Linked DNA regions of Drosophila melanogaster. The gene in region 3 interacts genetically with the main gene of each other region. Each region holds a gene or a part of one and is shown on either strand. Other genes may lie near its edges.

Evidence for each region.
Region 1: of gcm (region 3) and hop, changing one suppresses a phenotype caused by changing the other (phenotypic suppression), as found in Drosophila melanogaster (one study listed by BioGRID).
Region 2: of gcm (region 3) and psq, changing one enhances a phenotype caused by changing the other (phenotypic enhancement), as found in Drosophila melanogaster (one study listed by BioGRID).
Region 4: of gcm (region 3) and l(2)gd1, changing one suppresses a phenotype caused by changing the other (phenotypic suppression), as found in Drosophila melanogaster (one study listed by BioGRID).

Annotation. Positions count from the first base shown.
Region 1 is NC_004354.4:11,362,062-11,370,011, forward strand, and holds the start of hop (hopscotch), read right to left. Parts: upstream 6,038-7,950; 5' UTR 5,402-6,037; coding exon 4,340-5,401; intron 4,070-4,339; coding exon 3,909-4,069; intron 3,179-3,908; coding exon 2,972-3,178; intron 2,743-2,971; coding exon 2,423-2,742; intron 2,363-2,422; coding exon 1,900-2,362; intron 1,786-1,899; coding exon 1,436-1,785; intron 1,368-1,435; coding exon 931-1,367; intron 426-930; coding exon 247-425; intron 175-246; coding exon 10-174; intron 1-9. Other genes in the region: Tim8, read left to right, coding at 6,475-6,564, 6,643-6,819. UniProt on the Drosophila melanogaster protein: Tyrosine kinase of the non-receptor type, phosphorylates the marelle protein. Required maternally for the establishment of the normal array of embryonic segments: involved in the control of pair-rule gene transcription in a stripe-specific manner.
Region 2 is NT_033778.4:10,556,165-10,560,905, forward strand, and holds the start of psq (pipsqueak), read left to right. Parts: upstream 1-1,723; 5' UTR 1,724-2,212; exon of another isoform or gene 2,213-2,369; intron 2,370-4,741.
Region 3 is NT_033779.5:9,578,998-9,583,708, forward strand, and holds gcm (glial cells missing), read right to left. Parts: upstream 2,749-4,711; 5' UTR 2,596-2,748; coding exon 2,198-2,595; intron 2,123-2,197; coding exon 1,006-2,122; 3' UTR 568-1,005; coding exon of another isoform or gene 514-567; 3' UTR 501-513; downstream 1-500. Other genes in the region: CG31709 (uncharacterized protein), read right to left, coding at 1-34, 96-450, 514-567. UniProt on the Drosophila melanogaster protein: Transcription factor that induces gliogenesis. It determines the choice between glial and neuronal fates. Also has a role in the differentiation of the plasmatocyte/macrophage lineage of hemocytes.
Region 4 is NT_033779.5:11,104,904-11,111,366, forward strand, and holds l(2)gd1 (lethal (2) giant discs 1), read left to right. Parts: upstream 1-2,039; 5' UTR 2,040-2,161; coding exon 2,162-2,218; intron 2,219-2,305; coding exon 2,306-3,904; intron 3,905-3,962; coding exon 3,963-4,394; intron 4,395-4,452; coding exon 4,453-4,604; intron 4,605-5,201; coding exon 5,202-5,346; intron 5,347-5,412; coding exon 5,413-5,532; 3' UTR 5,533-5,938; downstream 5,939-6,463. Other genes in the region: Reps (RALBP1 associated Eps domain containing), read right to left, coding at 1-233, 302-621, 704-1,108, 1,164-1,310; Idua (alpha-L-iduronidase), read right to left, coding at 5,939-6,018, 6,077-6,463. UniProt on the Drosophila melanogaster protein: Phosphatidyl inositol monophosphate binding protein involved in endosomal protein sorting through regulation of the endosomal sorting required for transport (ESCRT) pathway.

The DNA.
Region 1 (7,950 bases), on a different chromosome or scaffold from region 3:
ATAACTCACCGTTCGCCGCTCTGAAGGCGATTGAGGAAATCCTCCTGCGATGTCTGGATCGGCACCAAATTGGGCTCCTCGCCGCGCGAAAACATTTCGAAGAGCGTCACGCCATAGCTCCAAACATCCGAATACGATGAGAATCTGCAGGTGGAGATGGCCTCCGGAGAGTACCTGACCAATGGAAAGCAAAGATATTCAGTTGCGATAGTGGCCTACCGTCAATCCATCTTCTTTTTTTCTTACCATCTAATGGGAATATCACGCTTGCTTTTCGCATAGTAATATCCATCGGAATTGGCGAATTGCGCCAGGCCGAAGTCTGAGATTTTGACGCAGTCACCATCGCCGTTGTGGTCCACCAAAATGTTGCGGGCGGCCAGGTCGCGGTGGATGAGTCCCATGTCGGACAAGTATTTCATGCCCTGCGACGAGAAGCATTTGGATTAAGTACTGGATCAAAAGGAAATATCTCTTCTAAAGTCGTAAACATGAGTTTTCTATACCAAAGTTCTTTTTTGTGGTTTTTTGTCCAAAATGGGCAGTTTTTTGGCCACATCTTGGGTAGTAGTAGCCCAAATATGGATTGTTATACCTCGTTTGGCTCGTAATTTAATTCCCAATCGATTGGGGTTCAAAATGGGAACTTTTAATTTTTTGCCATTTTTTGCAAATTTTGATGATGTTACCCCTTGTAAAAAATTCAAAAAAATGGAAAAATTTTGAATCCACCAAATTCAAAAAAAAAGAAATAGGATTTGTTAATTGGGATCATAAGCTTTTAAAAACAGTCATTCCCTTCGAAATTTGACCACTTTTGGCCAAGTTATGATGCAAAAACCCTTAAAATATTTGTAGATTTTTCTTTGAGTTTTCCCTCTTTTTTCCGGAAAACTTGTTCCGTTCTAAAGCCATATTCGAACCACTCACATTTGCAATATCTAAAGCGAAGCTGACGAGCCGTGGATTATTGAGATTGGGTGCCGTGAAACGCAGGTAAATGTCGAAGGAACCAGATTGCAGATATTCCATAATGATGCAGTGCGACTTCTCAGCCCAATACTTGAACTTGACTATGTTCGGATGACTGAGGGTGCGCATGATGCCGATCTCGCGATGAAAATCGGTCGACACCTGCATGGTGTTCAGCATCTTGATGGCAACCTGCTCGCGCGGCTGATCCTTGTCGTTGAACTCCAGATGACCCTTGTAGACAGTGCCATAATGACCGCGCCCGATCATGTTCTCCATGTTGTAGATCACTCGACATTCGCTGGTCAGCGGTATGACCATCAACATATTCGAACGCGGAAAGGGTAGAAAGGGTATGTCGCTTCTATCGATCACGGTCTCGTCTCCAGTTCCATCTGGAAAAAAAAATAGAAGATGAAATGTATGCCAATCTCGTAACGCTGCTTTCGTCTGCTCAACTTACTCGTTGCGATCTCGGGTGGCGGCATATAATTGGGCAGAATTTCCGCCTTGATCGTGTTGAGACGCGAGAAAATGTCGTGGTGACTGAAGCGCTTGGTCTCATCATCGGACCATCCATCCATGATTGTCTCGAATATCGGCGCCGGACAGATGTCCTGATCGAGCATCTTGAGTATGTTGCCATCGAGATTTTTCTGCCTGAGTAGCTGCTCCTGGCGCAGTGTGCTCAGATCTTCCTTGCAGCGCGAGAAGATCTCGTATATGGTGGTAGCGAAGGCCCACAGCTGGGCAAACTGATCCGTTTTGGCTGCTTGCAAATTGCGATAATACTTAACAGGTATCCATGGCGAGCTGAAAGTGGAGAATGAATGATGTTATTTAAAATGCTGTTTGCTTTTTTTTTGTTTTATCAAAGAGTATGACCCAACCGAGAAGATGATTAAGTTGTATTTGTCGGCTACTCACTCGGATTCTCGGTAGGGACGCGGATAGCCGGGATCGCTAATTTTCGCGTCTAGCACGTACGAATTCGGATCGTACTTGGTCACGTACAGATTACTGCATCGTATGTAATTGTGGATAATCTTGTTGTCCTCCAAATAGTGCATGCCGCGCACCAATCCATGCATCAGATCCAGTAGACAATGCAGTGTTACATTGGGCATCGAGTGCAGGAACTTATTGAGCGGACCATACCGCGAATACTCCATGACCATTGTGTACGGATCGGCGAGCGTTAGGCCGTACAGCTTGAGGAACTGCGGCGACTGGATGAGGCTCCAGGTCTGTGCCAAGCGAAAGAACTCCATGAAATTGCCATCGCTCTTTAGCATTTTCATCGTCACGGACACATCCTTGACGGGACTCTGTTGGATCCAATCGCCGCGCATCGTAAACATCATGCCATCGTCGCTAAGCGATATCGAATCTGCGCAAAAGACGAGCGATTAGAACGAAGCAAGGCATTAGAATATATAGTATGACCCACCTGGATACCACTGCAGATCCGTTCGGGGATTGAAGATCTGCGGATTGCGGCGCTGCAGCTCCGCCTCGCTCAGCTGGAGGTCAGTCTTTTTGGCCTTGAGGTTCTTTGGCAGCAGCAGTAGCAGCAGCGGCGGCTTGTCATATTTGGAGGCGGGTATGCGATAGCGATCGGGACTATCCGCTTGAATGATGTGCGCCACTTCGTGCAGTGAGTTTAGTACATGCTCGCCGTTGTTGTAGCTTAGCTTCCATTGCGAGTCCTTGCGCACGATCCTAAATGTCTCCGTCTTGCAGCGTTCCTGATCGGTTTTCTTGGCCATGCTGCAAAGGTGAGCGGGATTTTCGCATGAGATAAAACCGATCACATCTAATTTGGGCATCATCAATCACACACACACACAGGCAATCATCAGTAAGCGAAACAATTGGCCACATAGCGCACACAGCATTTTTGTGTATCATGTGGCATTGCATACAGAAATGTTTGTAAGCCTGATAACCAGCGAGGAGGAAGTAACTGATAACTGTGTGAAGGCGCGCATGTACTCACATTTTGGTGTTGATATCGATGTAGTATATGTTGTATTCTCGATCGCATTCACGCACAATATAGCTGCCGCACTTGTCACCGTTCTCGTGCAGCTTCATCAGCGAGTAGGCACCGCCGATTGGACCATGGCAGTGGAGGGAGCTCAGCTCCTCCAGGGAGGGCGTGCGGTACGAATGGCACAGATCCTGCATCCATTTGCTCGACAATCTGCAAGGAATAAACGGATGGCAAATACGAGTTATAAGTTGCGCACATTTGTTGCTGTCCATTGGCATTGTTATTATTATTATTATTATTATTATTATTGCATTTGAAAAGTGATTCTATAGCTGGGAATCAATTGTTTCAATTACGTACATATAACTTTATTGAGTTATTGAGAAGTACTGCACATTGACGCAGGCGATATAAATAGCAATGTAACATTTAAAACCGATTAGTGCGTAATTATTTAATCAATTTAACTGAAGAAATCTTCTGAAAGCATTTAGTTTTAAATTTCTTGCTTGTTTTAATTTTAGCCTGATAACGAAAACCGACTTTGTGTGTTGGATTACAAAACAAACAGGGACTTGGTTTTAACAAACTCTTTAAACAAAAAAGCAAGCATTTCAAGCACTGTATTTAATCGTGTTATCAAATGTCATATTTATGTGGGAATCATTAACTTTTAAGTGGAATTATTATGTTATTAAATGAGTTCGTGGAATTGATGACTTGATGTTTTTTTTTTTAAATCAATGGATGTTAAAAAAAACAATTGAGTAGTTTGATTAAGAACATTGGGCACTGATTATTGTTACACGAACACTACAATGAGATGCCTATAAATTCTGGTGAAAAAAAGACCAAGCAAGTTCGGCTTAAAAGATTAAAATTTAGTTGGAAGCGAACTCTTTGGGATCTAAAGCTCACCGATTACAAGTGAACCACTCACCTGATGTAGATACCCAGGTAGGAGATGAAGGACTTCATCTCCTTCTCCGTCTGAAACTGCATCTCGTAGCCCTTGGGCAGACCAACGATTTCCAGCCGCACAGAGGTGTCGTTGATTTTGGAGATCATAAAAATTCCTTCCACGGCGCCAACAAGGATCCACTGCAGAGGAAATGAGGATTATCAATGGGATGCTAGTGCAATTACATATGGTATGTATGTATGAATATTTCAAGAATCTTTGCCAGCGATAAGCAACTTGATTACCAAGACAATCGCGTTAATTAAATTGAGAAATCTATCAAAATGTTTTTTAAATATTATAATATTAATGGTATTTCCATATTTAAAATGGCCAGCATTAAAATGCGCATTTCGATGGGAAAACCACAAGAAACCATATAAGATTTCAGAAGGAAACATAGTGTGTACCTTGAGTGTGGCCTCGGAGGTGACCCTGGCCACCTTGAGTCCAGGCTCCAGGGAATCGTGTGGAAAGACTCGCACATAGACATCGATTCCACCGCTGGTGGAACGTCGTTTGGCCTTCTTGCCACTGCCGCCGAGTGCAACGGAATTGGTGTTGGTGGTGAGCGTGGACAGAGTGTTGGTCGATCCAGAACTGGCCAGCGTCGACGTCGAGTGGGCCAGACTGGTGCCGATGGGTCCGCTACCGCGGGCCACCTCCTCGTTGGGCAGATACTGAACGGTGCAGGTGAACTGTTCGGTCATATAGGTGGGCGCCAAATGGGATACCTGATGCACATAGTGCCACTTCAAACGCTCCACACTCAGCGAATTCGCTTTTAGACTGCGGAAAACCTCACGTATCTTGGAGCCCACAAAGAAGCTGTGGGCGCGCCACAAGCTCGGTGGCAAATACAGTTTGTAAAGCTTCTCGATGGAGCGCATCGCCTGCTGATCCTCCGACTGTTCCTGATCGTCGATTAGCATATCCATCACGGCCAGTCCCGTTGATTTGTCCTTGTGCTCCGGATAGCGAATCTCCGGGATTTGCTCGGTCCGCATATCGTAGCGCATTTGGCGGTAGAGGAACTTGTGGCTCCGTCCATCGATCAACTCCAGCTGGCTATCCAATTCGGGCACACGGAAACGCATCCGAAAGCAATAGACCAGCTGGCAGTTGAGTCGCTCGCCGGGCAGGCACCACGTCAGATCCAAACGCACCAGCGGCGAGGGACGTCGCGATGTCGAGTGCTCCCGTATTCCGTAGAGCAGCTGGGCAATTGGTGCAATGCCCAGCTGGCGGCACATCGTATTGCAGATCTCCTCGCACAGCATGTTGGGATGGAAACGCTCAAATTCGCCGGTGGTGAAGTTGAACACACGGATTGTGCCATCGTTGGTGTGGATGCTCTGCGAGGAGGTGCCGCTGCGCAGCGAGGAGTTCGTCAGGCTGGCGCTGTCCGCCAGCGAAGTGCGTCCGCTGCTGCTGTCGTCCATTCTATCCTCTCCCCCGTTGGCCAGGGCCATGAGAGGATTGTCGGTGAGTGGTCCCTTGTGGGCTGGGTGCTATCTGCTGCTCCTGCAAGCCCAGTTCCTTGGCTGGAGCAGTTTCCTTACGCGGCCGCACTGAAGCTAGATCATGGGAGCTTTCCTAGGAATTTGCCGCGTTCTATCCGTTTCCTCTTCTTCTTGCCAATAACAATGACCACCGCGACTGACTTGAGTTGCTATTTTTGGGCTTACTGCGAATGCTCCTGGAATCGGCGATGCTCTTACCCTTGCAGTTGCAAGGTTGCCCCAAACTCCAGCGCGAGTTCCATTGATGCCACTGGCGGGGAACCACCTGGACTGCTCCTTCTTTTAGCAAGCGCCAACTTTCCGAGCAAGAACCACTTCGCCACTTGGGCGATCCGTCAGCAAAGTAAACTGGAAATCGGAAATCACAGTGCACTGGTCCGAAATTAGACACCCGAAACGCCAGCTAGATCCCGAAATTTGTGGGGCGTTGTGGGAACAGGGCGACGGGACTGGATGGCGATTATAGACGCCTTCGATCTGAAAGTGGGCCTGCTGTCGAAACGAAGCTGCAATTGCGAAGCTACAATACAAGCCACGAATTTCAGTGAAATTCATCGGACAATTTGCACCTCACGATATCGATTGGCCGACGGCCGAGCCACTTTGTCATCGATTGTCCAATAACCTGTACTATCGCACCTTGCGAACCAGTGGTTGGCAACGCGAGGTTCTAGTTCTTTTTCGATAGTTCTCAGTAAATATAAATAACAACTTACTTTAGAAATGTATTCTTGAAAATTGTATACCCTCGTTGGCAGGAGGAGGATGCTTAAGAAAAAAAAATATACTGTTATTTGCTCTATGGCGTCTATATTCTTGCCATTTAAATATGACAACAGTGCAAACAGTGCAATATGCACGGCATTTCCAGTATCGAATAGCTTTGCTATCGAATACACATCGATTTTTGTAATTCCACAGTTCACAGCTGTCAGTGTCGTTTATATAACCTCAAACCTTAGAATATATGAAATTCCGGACGAGCCCGGTCAATTTGTAGATTGCTCACTGAAAATCACACGATGTCCGATTTTGAGAACCTTTCCGGCAATGACAAGGAGCTGCAGGAGTTCCTCTTGATTGAGAAACAGAAGGCACAGGTCAACGCGCAGGTGAGCCGGGTTCCCCCATACACATAATAACCATTCGTAATCATAACAATATGCCCTCGCACATTATATCGTCGCCAGATACACGAGTTCAACGAGATCTGCTGGGAGAAGTGCATCGGCAAGCCGAGTACCAAGCTGGACCACGCCACCGAGACGTGCCTGAGCAACTGCGTCGACCGATTCATCGACACGTCGCTGCTTATCACCCAGCGGTTCGCTCAGATGCTCCAAAAGCGAGGTGGCGGCGACCTGTAGATTTGTTCGCTTAATCGACACCGACACCGGGATCTGGGTATCCGAGTCCGTGGACGCTTCCGTCACTGTCCTACTGTTAAATCTATTTTTAAACAAAAAATTATCATGTAAGCACATTTTTTTCCGCGCTGCGTTTCGCCGCCGACATCCAAAGTATGTGGCCCGTAGTCTGCACCCAGCCCGAAATTGAAATCCGTGATTCGAGTTCCGGAATTAATATTTAATTCGGTAGCGCAACTCAATTGTTTGGTCGGCCCTACGTTAGCGTACCGAAAATAAATACATCTTTCGTTTCGTACGTTTAAAATGCATTGTGTTGTAATCCTTTGCTTGGATAGTTTTAATCTCTTCTTTTATAATGATGAAATATTGTTGATAGATGGCTTAATATTATGCAGAAAGGAAAATAGAATTGAAATTGGATCATTTCAACATACATTTAAATTTAATTAGGCTGGAAAGGGGCTTAGAATGAAATAGTAGGTGTTCCTTAAATGTTTATTAGAATAAATAAAGTTATTCCATATCGATAGTATAGTGCTTCCACTCGATAAGTACCTATCGGCAACTTTCCAATTGGAATTCATATTTACGCAACTTTGAACACACAAATGTAGCTGCCATTTCCTGTATAAAATGTAATACTAAATGTAATATTAATGCATTTCTGCTAAATCCAAAGGTAATACTTGCAATGCTTGCGGACCTATTTCCCGCGCTCGCTTTGAACGTTTGCCCAGGACTTCTGATTGGGCTGCACACGCAGCGCGCCTCTGGTCACACTGATCCCAACTAGAACTAGTGTTCCCGTGAGCAGAGCAGAAAACCGTAATATATATTCTCCAACGTGCTGCCGCTACTTATTTATATTAAACATAAAATGCCCGAAGGCTGTGCCAAACGCATGTCCTTTTTGCCAGTGAGTGTGTGTCCGTGTATAATATACATAGCAAAATATACAGTCGGTGTCGGTTTCTGTGAAGTGTAGAAGTTCAGAAGGAGAAGCGAAAAGCGTGAAAAAGGATCAAGTGAAGAGAAGCATGAAAAGTTACCTTGATTTGCCTGCAGGACTAAAAAAGGGACATTAAACTTTTTTAACGGTGCACCTTTTAGTTTTTTTTTGTGTCTCTG
Region 2 (4,741 bases), on a different chromosome or scaffold from region 3:
GACCGATTAACTCAAATGATTCAGCCTCGTGACACGAAAAGTTCCACCCGCCACTCAATCCGCAGTGCAAGTAACTAAGCAAATGCGATATGTGTGTGCTTAAATGCATATAGCATGTTTATGGGTCTGCCGAATGGGGTTTTTCGAATGGAGTAGGGTGCGTTTGTGGGTTTTGTGGCGGGGGGAAAGGGGGGATGGGTATTTCGGTGGCCTATGTGCGCCTATAATTATAAGGCATATACACTATATACATATGTACATGGGCATAGCATAGCTGCGTGTTTTTCGTCGGGTAAATAGGTGCACACGTCAATTGCTGGAACGACCTCAATGGGTTCCCACTTCCAGGCCCCCCCTTCCACGGCCCACATTCGTTTGATTTTTCCGCACTGGAAAGTGGGAAAACCGGAGCAATTATTTCCCGATCCGATCATGCTACAATTATGTATGTTTAATTTTTTTTTTTTGCTGCTGATGTTGTGTTTCACTATTCACCATTCCATTGCCGTGGAGCTAGAACATGCAATTATTTTAATGTATTCGGCCTTGGGACTCATGAATGTCAATTGGCACGTAAGTTCTCCATTAGCTATTAGCTTTTACCCGCGGCTCCACGCATCCAAATGCAAATCTCTATATGTATATATAGATATGTACCTAAATGTGTACATACAAACTCATATGGTTTACGCTGCAAATCAGTCGTTTTGTATGCTAGCTTCGTTTTTTTTATGGTTTTTTATGGGGGCTAGGCGACTCCCACCCACTCGCACATATTTATACAAATTGAGACAGCGGAAAAAGTGCAACTCATTTGAATGGTTTCGCCTTCATTATGCAAATACGAGCACTGTTGGTGGCGAATATTTATTTGCTCATTATAAATACATAGAGTTTCTGGCATTTTAGCAATCATGACTTGCACGCACACGAGCATTAAACGAGTTTCTAAAATTCAGTGTAATGATCGAGTTTTATGGGACTATTGCATTCGAATTTGAACTGAGTGGGCGCCAACATATCGATAATATATAATGACAGTCGATATTTTCATAGCAACCAGCTTTCGCTGGGCTCGCTGCGCAACTAGGTGGCAGCTCTGAAATGTATATTACATGTAAGAAATCCTTTTACAAACTCAATAAATAATAATAAATGCTTGAAATAAATGTATATTTCAATACTTCTAAAGCATTTTATATATTATGTTTTTATTGGTATTACGGAAAACCTCCAACTTTCAATTTTAAAGCATTATATTTATAAATAAAATAATTCTACAAGCAAAAAAACTCATTTAATCCTGGAAGCACTTATGGATTTCACATTATAAAAGAACTGATTAAATGTATGAAGATACATCATTTTATTAACGTACATTTTGTAATATTTAATTTTTTGAATTTTCAGTTTCTGCGCGCCCATATCAAAGTCCGTAGCAAAAAAATCAATATAGGAAATGCAATAGGTGCAAGCGGGACGACCAGCTGAATCGAGCGGCGAAGCAAAGAAGACCCGATAAGGCGATGCCACCTAGTTAGAAACTAATAAGTAGTTGCATAAATAATACAGTTTTTTACACAATAGAAAATCCAAATGAGTTCTCACTCAATTTTAAAGCAAGTTATCTACTATTTGGAAACACTACCCAAGTAGTTTTCAGCCTTTGAGCACCTTTTGCTACATTTTAGCACCTTGCGGCGATCTGGCAGCGCCACACGAAAATGGCGAACACGAGCACTCCGATGAACGACGAGCTGAAAAAATAATTATTATTTTAAATTCCGTTTTGCCAGCGAAATTCGGTGCGTGCGCGAAAAAGAGTGCGGAAAAGCGCGGTTGAGAAATTTAATCGGCCCATTATGAAGCGGTCAAAGTGCGGCGCCAATGCAAATGGTTAGCCAAATGGCAAGAAATATGTAGCGATAGCGTGCCAGCCCAGTAAAATCAAATAGAATCAAATTTAAGTTTCTTGCTTTGCGAATTATGAAAAACCAATCGCAATGCGTGTGTGTGTGTGTACGTGTGGTGCGTGCGCGCGTGTGTTAGTGAGCGAGCGTAGAAGCAGAAGGCGTAGCGAGAAATAAAAATAAAAAACCATACAATAATTGATTTAAAAAAAAGAAAAGCAAAAAGGCCAACAAACGAAAAACAGCAGAAGCAACAAAAACACACGACAAGCGGCAGCAAAAACAACAACACAAAACTGGCGGTAAATACGCATACAGTACGATACAAAAAAATAAACTAGAAGCAACAACAAATACGCAACGTAACGGGAACTCTTTGACGTATTTCCTCTATTATTATGCAAAAAGGCAGGCGGCAAATTGCAGCAGCAGCGAAAATCAAATATAAATAGCGAAAAGGTAAGGACAGAGGCCCCACAAACTAAACTAAAAATAAGAGCCGAACATATTTGTTGTTTGCAGAGTGCAGTAAAATGGGTGCAAATAAATGGGCAAAAGAAAGAAGCAACAAAATACTGCAAACCTTTCAATTGGCTTCAATTGGCAAATGTAATTGTTCAGCATTACATTTGCATTACACCGCTCACCAACTCTTGCTCCCTCTCACTCTCTCTCTCACTGTGTTCTCCGCTTTTGCGCTCCCTTTGCCCCTTTTACTTTGCAAAGTTTTGCGACGAACAAGAACAATAATAATCAAAACAAAAATGTTTAAAATCCATTTTCTTTCGCCTCTCCTTCACCCACTCACTCATTTCGTAGCGCGCTGTCATTTGTCTTGCGCCTTTGCCTCCCCCCCTCTTCTTCTTCTTCTTCTACTTTACGTTGTCCCCTTCTTCTCTCTCTCCCCGCAACATTGCCGTCTCGCTCGCTCGCATGCACACCATGCACGGGTGAAGAGGAGACGTAACGAAAACGAAGTTGGTTTGCCTGGAATGCCACAGTGGGTACAAAAGGGTTTGATAGTGGTCACAGTCGACACAGTGGGGTGGGTATTTCATTATTCTGCAACAGAAACTCTTGTTATTCTTATTAAGTCAAGCAAAACTAGCAAAAATAAACATTTCTAGCCGGCTAAAAAAAAACTCAAAATCCAATCCAAAATCCAATAAATATTTAGTACAAAGTGCAAGATTGCTAATAAAATAAACCAAAAGTATAGCACTTACTTTTTGTAGGAGATGAAGGTTGTTAAAAGCATTCATATATAATTAATACGAATAAATTTATTTTATTTAAGTTCTAAATTATACGTACTTATCATTTTATATAAAGATTTACATTGCCTTATGCAGTGATGTTACAATCATCAATGTAGATCTTATAAGAATCAATAGGCCGTCCGTAGGTCGGGTAGGGTGTAGAAACATAAAGTGCAGTGAGGAAATATTAAAGGGCAAGAAAAAGTGAAAAAGCAATAGCACAAACATACAAAAAACACGAACACACATTATCCATTTGCCAAATAAACATGCACAAAGTAAGAGAAAGACGGGGAAAATGCAGAAGAAGAGGCTCCAAAAGGCGGCAAATCGCTGCATGTGTGTGTGTGAGCGAGAAGGCAACAATGGGACGAACAATATAAAAAAAAAAAAACGTGGAATTGGTCTAGTAATGTAAGAAGAAGAGCAGTAACAACGCGGACGAACGGACCGCATAATGCGCGTTTAATGATAAGTCTCTCTGTCCGAAACGAAGAGAGAGACATGGAGAGAGCGCGGCTGAGAGGCCCGCCGATTTTCGAGTGGGTGGCAACACCTAGTCTTCCTCTTTCTTTCACACCTTTTCTTGCCGCCGTTTTGTTTTGATTGCGAGTCTTCTGCGAAATGAAATGCAAATACAGTGGAGCAGCCTTAAGCTCGTAAACTTTTACATATACAATAAATGCAAATAATTTAAAATAAAACAAGTTTGGAAAATGCAACTATAAATTTTCTTATTATTTTTCTTAATTTGACTTCGAAATTTGTAAACAAAGATAGATTTCGAATAAATCAAATCAAAAACATCTCTTTGAGTATCCACTGTGGCAACTGTAACTTTGTAATAAAGAAATCCCTTGAAAATCTGACTTATTGTTCGGCATAAAATTGTGGTTGCATTTTAGCCTCCGCATTGGAAGTTGCAAGCAAAAGTTGGCATCTCCTCTCTGTCCGCCTCTTCGTCGCTCCATTGCCTCCCATTTTATTTGCACGGCAAGTTGCCTCCTCGAGCATCCTTTCAGCATTCCTATTATTCTTTTTTATGTTCCTTCCTTTTTTTTTTTGACAATGCCCCAACTAGCAAAAACAACTTGCAGGCACCAATACGTGCCATTGAAAACGAGAAAGGGAATTTAATCCGAAAAACACTGATTTCAGATACTCTAACTGCTACTTGGGGATTTTGTTTGAATGTTAATTAATTTAAAAACTAGTAGTAAATGGAAAAATGTAGTGTAAAAAGAGCGTTTTATTTGAAAATACCATTTATTTTGTTGTAAACATGTGACCATACTATGATACCCTTTTAAAAGGGCATACAAAAATGAAGTTTCACTGAAAACTGGTTTCAGTTTCGGTTTTCTTCCTTCTGGCCTGGCCCAACATTTTACATGAAAATGTGCAAAACAAAACCATTCCGGCGGTGCTAAAAACCACGCGACATGACCAGCACTAAATAAAGTTAAAATAGTAACTATTCGTTGAGCTCATAAGCTTTAAAAAAAAAGGTAACTTATGTTCGAAAATAAAACAAAATAAATTAGCTTGAATGGAATGTTCATTCATATACAA
Region 3 (4,711 bases):
TGCTGATTTCCACTTGGCTCTAAGCTTAAATAATCTAATAAGAGAGTATTAATTATGCACTTCATTGTATTAGCAATAAGTACAGCTCAACTTACACCGCCCATTGGTATATCGCACCATTACTGACAATGCATTTGGTTCCCTGTTCCCTGTAGTAAGTCCATTTAAAGCTTCCAACGCTCTATCTGTGGTTATAATGTCGGCGTGTCCCCAAAGTGGATTATTTCGTTGTAGCCGTGATCCTGGGCTGATTGGATTCTGTCCATGATGCCTTACTGAGCGCATTGCATTATCACTTGGTGTACGGACTCTGAATTGCATTCTCCTTCTACGATTGCGTCGCCGCGATTTTACCCTAAGGTCTGGAGTTTCCCGATTCGTAATTCCAAGTGCCTGTCCAATCAAATGACGGCGCAAAAATAGCAAGTTAACTAGAGCTCTACGGCGACGCTTCTCAATACAAAATTTGGTTTTATTCATTGTTATTTGTTTAGGCCTTTATTTAGTACTCACAATTGCCATAGTTCGGTTATTTGCACTACATTTTCTAGGGCGACAAGCACCCATTGTTACACGATTTTGGTTGACTAACGAATTTAAACTTGTTGTTGAGGAAAATCCCTAGTTGTATATCCTGCCGCTGGTAATGTTATACTGACAATGATTACGAGCTCCCTTGCTTGACACGTGTCAATTCTCAAAAAAAGGCTGCTTCGATTAAGTTTTTCTTTCAAAAATGTTTATTACTACAAAAAAGTTCATAAATAGGTGGGAAATGTGACTTAAAACTCTATGTGCTTAAGAATACTATTACTCTTACGTGCTCTAAAACTTTGGAATAGCTGGGAAACAAGTACAAAAGTACAAACTAGAAACGTTCAATATATAATAATACACGACCAACAAGCAATGGGAACATGAATGGAAATCAATCAACTAGGGACTAGAACAACGCTTGAGTGGCTCAGTAATAGTAGTTGCGATGAGAGATCTTATCCCGATCCCCTAGCAATAGATGGGATCCGTGCTGTTGACTGGGTGATATGTCGCGTCCATTTGAATGTTCCACGAGTTGTCCACTCCCGTATTGCTGTAGTAGTAGTCGGCGGACTGCATCTGATCCTGCGGCTCCTGTTGATAATTGGTGAGATGCGGAAAAGTTCCCTGTTGCTGATGTTGCTGATAGGCGGTTGCTTCGTCGTAGATGAGATCCACGCCACTGGTCCCTCCGCCATTCAGAGTTGACTCAAACACACTGAAGATCTCCGAGCTGGTTGTGTAGAAACTTGCATCCTGGCTAAGATTCTGGCTTTGGCTTCCATTGCTCACGTCCAGCGAGTTGGGTAGATATCCATTGTAGTAGCCATAATCCTCGGAACAGTAGCCCGAGCTGCTGGTCAAACTGGACGTATCGTCGCATATTTCATACGAAGGCATTCCGCACTGAAGGCTGGAGGAGATTGGCTGGCTGGGATCATAGCTGACTGGTACATGTTGCTGCGGTGAGAGTTGCTGCTGGTATTGTGAGTGCTGCAGTTGCTGCGGTTTGTTCTCCTGGTAATAACTGCCCGTGGAGCTATGCGCTGAGAGAGGTGAGTGGAGCATATCGTAGGAGTACATTCCATTGGCATAGCATGGATCCTCCGTTTCGTAGTGAATCTCTCTATTCCACTGACTGATCACTGATCCTTGTCCTGCTGGGACATATGAACCCTGAGATTGATTAAAGTTGGTGCTATGTGTGGGCGTCGATGTGGGCAGGTAGGTGGTGGGTGGCACCACTAACTCCTGCTTGGTTTCGAGCACATCGGAAGCACCCATCCTTCTGCGCTTGCTCTCCTGGATGGACTGAGTCTTGGCCTGCCGTTTTGTGGGTCTCAGGCTACTCAGCTTGTCGCTCAGCGCCGATTCCCTGGCCAACATTACGGCCAAACTTCGCACACGTCTTCCTCCTGCCAAAAGTCGCCTGGCTTCCGTGGATCCCTTGGCTTCGGGTCTGGGGTGATCGTGGGTGCCCTTGGCCTGGAAATAGATTCCATTTCCGTCCCTGCGCCAGAAGTGGGTCACTGGATAGCCGCAGTGGCCGCGGCAAGCCTGGATTTCCAAGCGACCATTGCAATTTCTGTCAAGAAAAAAAAATAAAAATACCGAGTTAGTTTTGACAATTCTTGGATTTTGTGTTTAGTCAAAAACCCACCTATTGGGACACTGTTTGCCCTGCTGCTTCCTTCTGGCCTTGTCGCAAATGGCGGGTCTCAGATGCACACTGGCTCCATTGGGCAACTTGCACTTGGCACTGCAGAGGAGCACTCCCAGGCAGCTCTTCTTTAGGATATTCACGTTGTGGTTGTTGGTGTTTCGCATGGCCCAACCGCTGGCATGTTTCCTGGCCTCATCACTCTGCACGGAGTAGATGAGCCGGCAATGTCCGTTGGACCAGTCATTGAAATCGTCAAACTCCCCCACCGACGGCATCTTGGAATCGTTGATGTCCCAGTCGATCGCCACCCGGGACTTGGTGGCCGGAGGACTGGGCACAGGCATGGGCACTGGCATCGGTACTGGCATTGTTATAGGCATGCCGTTCAAAACCATTTTTGATGTGTCTATGTAATCGTTAGTTTCAAGTTCACACGCGGTCACTATAGTTTTCCTTCTCAATAGTCTATTACTACTGTGTACTTCTTCTCAACTTTTCTCTGGAGCGACGCGTCCGTTCGCATCGACTGCGCAAGGCTGACTAACTGGGCCCGCTCTGCGCAGCACAGTTAAGTTGCCAGCGGTCGAATCGCACGAGGGTTGCTCGGTCGCAAAGCGGTACGCCCATTGGTCCATGCTGACTTCCAGTTCGGGTGCGCTTGTGTGCGGCTTATCCGCCTTATCCGGCACTCCAGTTTGGGAAATTAGGAGAGTTCCCGAGCAGGTTTGATTGGTAGTAGTGGTAGCAGCAGCTGGAGATGGAGAATTCGTTCTATAGGGAACTGGGAGCTGGGAGAGCTTGAGCACAGGGAGCTGGGAGCTGGGAACTGGCAACTGGGCAGGGAGACGAGTGCTGTGCTGCTCTAGCACCTGCGGTTGCAGCACGCGCTCCACTGGGTAATTGTACGATATGAGAACCAGGGGTTTGAGGCACTCGATGGCAAAGAACACGGCCCCAACCCCAGTCAAAGCTAATTAAGTTCAGAAAAAAAGTTTACAACATCAGTAATGGAAATGGAGATGGGGATGGGGCTGTGTGTGGATGGGGATGTGCTGTATGGCATGGGTTCTGATGGGTACACCTGGCGACAGTCACTGGCAGATGCCAGTGGTCGGGCCTATTTACTTTCGAACTGGATGTGGATGTCGAAATGGGGAGCAAAGTGAAATGGTTGGAGGGCAAGCAGAGTTACGAACAAAATGGAGATGGTTCCAACGAAGCACGGAAAGTAATTTAGTTCAAGGCTTTAAGACTTTTTTAATGCGGACATTAAAGCTGCTAAATCTACTTAACTTCAGAGGTAGAAATTATTCTGTAAAAAAATTTCAAAATCAAACGTAAATTTTAATGGAAATGACTCACAGAAATATAGAAATATTACCACTATATATAGTCACTATTATAGAATTTGGTAAGGCAACGGTATAGCTAACGGAACTACTTCTCACGATCTCAAAATCGATAAAGAAATAAACGTTTGCAAAAAAAGAAACCGAAATGTCGAGCTCCTGCCGATATCTTCAAGATGAAATCAGGGATCTCATAATCGTAAAACACAATTTAGCACGCAAAAAAACGGAAATCAAAAAGAAGAAATCCCATATTGGAAAACCTCCCCTACAAACCCAAAGGCAAATGCCATAACTCACGCATATGAATGAAGCAAAGTTTGCCAAACAAATTCCTTGGGCCCCTTGGCGATCTCAAGTCAGAGATAAACGAAACAAACATAATCATTAAGATGACGAAAGGGTGAGGAAACTCCATAATTTTCACACTTCCACGACAGACCAAATGCCATGCAATTATGACACGAACTGAGCGAGCAACCCGCGGCGCCTTTCTGCCAAGGAGTCGCCCAAAGATCAGGATCGTAGCACGCGATAGGAACTCAAAGGATTACGGCGGACAATGGGAAAGGGTGCTCCGACCGGGACTCGAGGGGCGTTGACACAGAAGAAAGTCATGACGTGGCATATTATGAGGCTGTGCTGGGGAAGCACATCCTACCTGGTCCCAGATTCCCGCACTCAAGGTGGGTGTGTCGCCTTAATGATGCCCGGAATTAACTGTTCCGTTTCAATTACGAGACATCACTTGGCAATCAAATTTATTTGACACTTTCTCTGCGGGGGCCAGTGGAGAACAGAACTCTTTTCTTTCCCAATGAAACTCAGTCCAATTGCGGCTATAAAATTCGACCAAAAATTACGCATAAATGTCATCGTAAATTCGGCATCTACCCTATCCGTCGGCGGTGTCGTGGGAAGTTACGCCCCTGGCATATAGATAGTCTGTTCTGGTCGGAAGGGATTTGGCCAGGGATTATAACGATTGCCAAACATATGGCCATGGATATTCACAATATGTGAGTGAGTGCTCAAAAGATTTGTTGACCGAGTGTAGGATAATGTGTTCGTTAAATGCCAAGACTTTATGACTACTCAATAATGAAAAAGATTACATTTAGGGATTTTACATATATTGTACAAACTCTTATATACAACAACA
Region 4 (6,463 bases), 1.5 Mb from region 3:
ATGACGAGGATGTCACCCCCTGTCCACTGCCGGACGCAGCTGCTTGTAGCACGTTGGGATGCAAACAGTGGGGCAGACTTGTGGGCAAGGGAATGTTGTTGCGCCGTAGAACCACCAAATGCATGGCGGCCGTAAACTCAGACAGACTTAGCGCTCCATCGCGGGTAACGTCACACAACTGCCAAATGTGACGTAGCTCCTCCACAGGAATGCGGCTCTTTTCAAAAAAGTTTCTAATAAAAAAAGGAATAAGAAAATAATAAGAAGAATAAAGTTATAAACGTTCCTAAAGCCAACTTACCTTGCTGCTTGGCCCGAAAGCAGACCATGCGGATCCCTTTGCACCGTCCTGAACTGCTTATTATAGTACTCGCGCTGTTCCGGGGTTATCTGGTAAATGGTCACCAATTCGCTCTCGTTGTCATCGTCGTCGCTGCTGTGGCGATCGGAAGACTCTTCCTCCGTGCCTAGCAGCTGGCGATGCTCGTCGCCCAGCAAACCCTGCCAGAGGGTGTCCTGCGCCCAAGGCCGCTCAGCCACGCTGTTGGTGGGCGTGGGGCTGTCACTGTTAGTGCTCCAGGCTTCTGGCGATCCACCACCAGTACCGCCTCCTCGTCGTCGCTAAAAGAGATAAGGCATGGACGGGGATCGGTCAATGGTAAGCTTATTTACAAATGTCACAAGATAAGATAGAAGTACAAACCCCGACATTTTCGCGGCTGCTGCTGCTGACGACCCCACAGCCATCCGTACCTCGTCCATGGCCTGTCGCATCGTCCACTGATTCGTTTTGCTCAACCTCGGAGTCGGTGCTGGGCACATCAGAGGTGTCTTGCAGCTGCTCTTGCTGCGAGTTACGACGCAGTGAATTTCTGCGATCTGTGGGTGGTGGCGGTGGCAAGGCAGTCAATCCATTTTCGACAGCCACCGGAGCTGTAACCGCCTCCTTCCAGCTAAAGTGCGGTAATGGAAGCGGAAACGTGGCCAAGATCAGCTCCTGGCGCAGGGGCATGGCCGCCTGATGAGCAGCGATTAGCTTCAGGCATGAGTAGAACTGTGTCCGCGAGATGTGTAGCGCCGTGGAGGGTATCCCCGCCAGACCGGTGATCTATAAGCCCAGACCCAGATAATTAATCACTCACGATCACACAAATTGGACCTACCTCAATCACGGTCTCATTGGCGATGTCCGCCGAGCGAAAGAGCTCGGTGGCCTTAAGCATGGGCACCTTGCCTGTCTTCTCCACGTCGCAGCATTGGAACAACTCACTGTAGAAGCGCGTCTCCGGCTCAGTGAGGGACACGTCCATGCCTGTCGCCTACTTGTTGCCGTCTCTGGTTTCGTTTACCAAGCCGCTGGTTAACGAGCCACGCCCCGTTCGTCCGTCCTGGACCCGGAATCCAATTCGTTTGTTTACTTCCACGTTTAACCCAGCAGGCCAGTGCCGACCCCGCTGCCCCGCGCTGCTCACAACCAGAAGTCTGATGATTTTCTGCCTTTGGCCCCCAAGACGGAGTTGGAGGAGGTGGAAGCTGGGAGAACTGCGGGGACGATGGTTTCGCTAACTTCTTGGTGCCACCACAACCACGATGGTTAGAGGATTCACGGCACTGGTCGACGAGGGTACACCTAGTGCCTCAAGCTGCTCGGCGCACAATCAATTTGGCTTTTTGTCCAGGTTTTTTTTCGCAAACTCTTTTGCACTGTGTGTGCGCTGGCTCTCGATATCGATAGGTTGCGGTATCGATTCGATTAGACAGCTGGCGCGGCAGCCCTGTACCTGTTAGCGTTTCGCAGCCCTAGTTACCGGCAAAAGTTTAGTTCCGCAGGATTGATGTTTTGTAAGGTGGCTTACCATGTTCATTTATATTTCATTATGGATTAAACTATAATAAAATTTAATGTTGCTGAATGAAGAAAAAATCATTTCTTCATTATTTTTAACGATATTTTTTTAACCGTCAACAAATTTCCTGTAGCCCTGTGCCACTGACGTCACCAATTCGCAAAGACTTTCCTGCGTCACCTTTCGTTGCACCACAGTGATCCCCACTCTGTTATTGTTGTCTGCGGCTGAACTGTTGCGACGCAAAAATTTAAAGGATTTGAAAGTCTTTATAGACTTATTTTAGTTAATAAACAGCCTCTGTGCAATCAAGGATGTTCTCCAGAAAGAAGCCAGAGCCAGCGAAAAGAAGGCAACACGATTTATCGCAGGTGAGAGGAAAAACAAACAGTCTAGATCCGTCTATTTATTAATTATGACTCATCGTTTGGACTGTCTTTTTTGTTTTTTGTGTTTAGTTCGGTCTTACGGAAATCCCAGATGATTTTGATCCCAGCGCTGGATATGGTGAGGACGATGGGGGTGACAGTGATTTGGAGGCAGAGCTTGCGGCCATAACCGGCGGAGAAGGAGCCAAGCCAAAGCCCAAGCCCAAAGCAAAGCTGTTACCCGCCAGTGATTTGGACAAAATGATAGCCGACAGCTTGCGTGATGTCAGCGACGATGATGATGATGACAATTTGGAAAGCGATCCGGATCTTCTTGGCGAGCTGAGCGGAATCGGTGGTCTAGAGGAGGCAGAGGAAGAGGAGCCTGTCGCACAACCGCCAGCTGCCTCTGAGGAACCCGTCCAGACCTTTCTGCCCACGACGACTGTGGACACATTAAGCATTATCAAACAGCGCCTGGAAATGTACAAGCAGGCCGAGGCCAATGCCAAGACTGCCGGCGATTCTGGCAAAGCAAGGCGATTTGGAAGAGGCCTTAAGACTCTGAAAGATCTGCACAGGCAGGCAGCGGCTGGCAAGTCCATTAACGTGGATGACATTCCACCTGAAGTCAGTGTAAAGCCAATTGGCGGGCAGGCTCCTCCAGTGCCTGCAGAGGAGTCACCAGCTCCTTCCACACCTGCTTCCCCTCCGCCTGTGCCTAGTCGTGCAGCTCCAGATCCACCAACCCCCGGCACCCCCGTGGAGCCCACTACATCTGTGGCTCCCACATCTCCCCCTAATCCTCTTGTGACGCAAATGCGCAGCCGCCAGACGGACTACAAAGCTGCTGCACTGCAATCTAAGCGCAGTGGTGACATATCTACTGCCCTTCAGTTTCTCAAAGTGGTCAAGCAATTTGACGTAGTTATAAAAATGTGTGAAGACGGACAGGAAGTTGATTTGAGTGACATGCCCCCTCCACCAGCTGAGTTTCTTGAATTCCTTAAAAAAATGCAAGAAGAAGCAGCCGCAGAAGCTGTCGCAGAACCTACTGCTGCCCCAGAACCCACACCTGTTGCTCCTGCTCCTGTTCTAGCAGCTGCAACAAATATGTTGGAGGCTCTGCAGCAACGTTTAGAGAAATATCAATCTGTAGAAGCGGCAGCCAAGGCAGAAAACAATAGCGGAAAAGCAAGACGCTTTGGAAGGATTGTGAAGCAATACGAAGATGCCATAAAGTTGTACAAGGCAGGCAAACCAGTGCCTTACGATGAGCTGCCTGTGCCACCAGGTTTTGGACCGCTGCCTACGGCTGATGCTGCTCCTGTCGCGCCGACACCGTCGCTGCCCACTTCGCCTACATCTCCACCGCCAACAGCAAGTACTTCCGCAGGAGGAACACCCTCCAGTTCCAGTGCGACGACACCTACAGCTCCTCGAAAAGCACCTTCACCTCCTAAGCCCAAAGAGTTAACAACACGCACGTCTGGCAATCAGCAGAAGAATAATATTGCCGAGCAACAAATGAAACTGCTCCTCGAGCGCCAAAAGGAGTTTAAGCTAGCTGCTATAGAGGCCAAAAAAGCGGGAGAAATAGATCAGGCGAAGGAGTACCTCAAGATCTTCAAGGGATTCGATTCCCTTCTTAATGCAGCGAGTAGTGGATTGCCAGTGGACCTCAGCACTGTAAGTTTTGCATTACATCTTCTTCTTGTATGGCTAACTATATATTTTTTTTTTTCAGCTTCCCGTCCCGCCTTCACAAAGGGATAATCTAGAAGCCTCCTTTGCCATTGTATCTGCTGAGGAATGCGATCCGACAGATGATATCTGTGAAATTGGTGTTCGCATGGAGGAGCAGCTGGCAAAACAACTGATGATGTGCAAAAATACGCGAGATCATCACAAAGCTATGGGAGATGTAGCAGGCATGAATCGGTTTGAAAATTTAGCCTTAACTGTGCAAAAGGATTTGGATTTGGTGCGATACTCGAAACGAAAGAATGAACCACTGCCAAAGTTTCACTATGAAAAGCGTAGCTTCAACATTGTGCATTGCAACACAGATCTCACAGACAGTGAGCTTGAAATTGTTGTGGTCCGGGGAATCAGCTACAATGTGGCCAATCCCAAGGACGTGGATACTTATGTGCGCGTAGAGTTTCCCCTGCTCAATGTAAGCTAATTACCAACATTTAAAGTTTCACCAATTATTTATATGTTTTCGTTTTAAGGATGAATCTTTCAAGACTAAAACCAATGTTATCAGAGACACCAGCAGTCCTGACTACGATGAACGCTTCAAGGTTGACATCCAGCGGACCAATCGTCAGTTCCAGAGAATCTTTAAGCGGCATGGCGTCAAGTTTGAAATATACTCTAGAGGGTAAGTTGCCCGTACATAAAAGAACTGAGCTAGAACAATTATTTAATCCGTACTAAGAAGCTTTCCATGCATATTAATCTCAACTAACGGAGGCGGTATATGATCTTATTTACGCGTATTAATTTTCCAAGGAATACTTAGTAATATCCGATGAGTAGTAATCTTCTACATTTTGAAATAGCCTTAAAGACTTAAATAAAAATATATATATAATTTTAAAAAATATTTGGCATAGATCATTTTGCGAAAATTTAAAAAGCTGTTGATTGAGCTGCATACCTACTAAATATTTTTATCCAATTTGTAGGTTTCGCTTGGGTATTAATTTGCTCTTAATATTAAGTTTCAGCTCTTAATTTGAATTATTAAATTTTTCCCGTAGTAAGCATGTTCCTTTGGTCCCGTAAAACAGTATCGTACGAGTCACGGCTTCAAGCACACATATATTTCACCGTATGTGTCTACCCATTGATCTTCTTGATTGATTCTCACAAGGAACATTTTAATGAAATATTTTTACAAATTTTTACGCCTCAATTCCCAACAATTCAAACAAAAAATAAATGTCATCCAATGCTACGCATTTAATATAAATAGCTGCAGTATAGATTGTTGTGGACTAAGTCGTAAACTGCCCCTGTGTTGTTTCAGAGGTTTTCTGCGATCGGATACGTTGATCGGAACCGTAAATGTCAAGCTGCAGCCATTGGAGACCAAGTGCGAGATACACGACACATATGATGTAAGTGATAACTACTATAATAAAATAATATAAACTTAAATTTAACCTATGTATTCCTTAAAACAGCTAATGGATGGTCGCAAGCAAGTAGGTGGAAAATTGGAAGTCAAGATACGCGTTCGCAATCCTATTCTCACCAAGCAAATGGAGCACATCACCGAAAAGTGGTTGGTCTTGGATGCCTAGGGCTAAACAAGAAAATTTAAATAAAATAGGAACGCGTCCCCTTGCGATTGTTCTCGATTAAGTCACTAAGTTATTTGTTTGTAAATATCCCTCACAGAAAATTCAATTTATCTAAGTATGTACGCTTTTGCCGATTCCTTCGCAGGAAGAAGGCATTTATATATTACGAACACAACACATATAATGTACTATAAATATCTTTATATATAAATAATATATGTATATATGATATTGCCGGCGTTAAGGCGAAGGCGCAAGTCCAGAAGATTGTGCCGGTGAAGTCAGTCCATTCCAAGAGAGACAGATTGAGAGTAGGATCGGTCCACTAGCGCCTAGCCGAAACCTGATTATGTTAGCTTTCACATTGCATAAATATTTTCTTTTGATTTATAAACTGTTTGTTGAACTACAACTCCAGATATTCGACTATTTGTGAGTAGGGACTGGTTTCATTAAACACATCCACACCGCGAACTTTATAGAAACCTGCCGACAAAAAAAGATTTCGGTTATGAAAGATGGAAATTTTGCAGGTTATGCTCACCATTGACGGATCCCTTATCGCCGGGCGCATACTGAAACGACGGATATGGCAGATGCCAGCCCTGTGAGATGAGCATCCAGTCGGCGGAGCGACCCAGATTATCGCGTTCCTTAAACCACACCTCGTAGCTGAGAAGGCACTGCGTGGATTTGGGGTGTTCCATCCAGCTAATGAACACCTCACGCTGAGTCACCTCTGCGATGGAAAGTTGCTGCGGTCGTCGCAGTTTGGGCCAAGATGCGGAACACACCCGGAGCAGCATCGCCCAGGGCAGTGGGATGCTGGCGGAGTTGATAACTAGCTCGCTGTTGTACTGCCAGATGGGTCCCGTCTTGTAGAGTCTAGGTGCTTGGGCTCTTCGCATCGCTTCCCTTAGAGTGGCGTTGG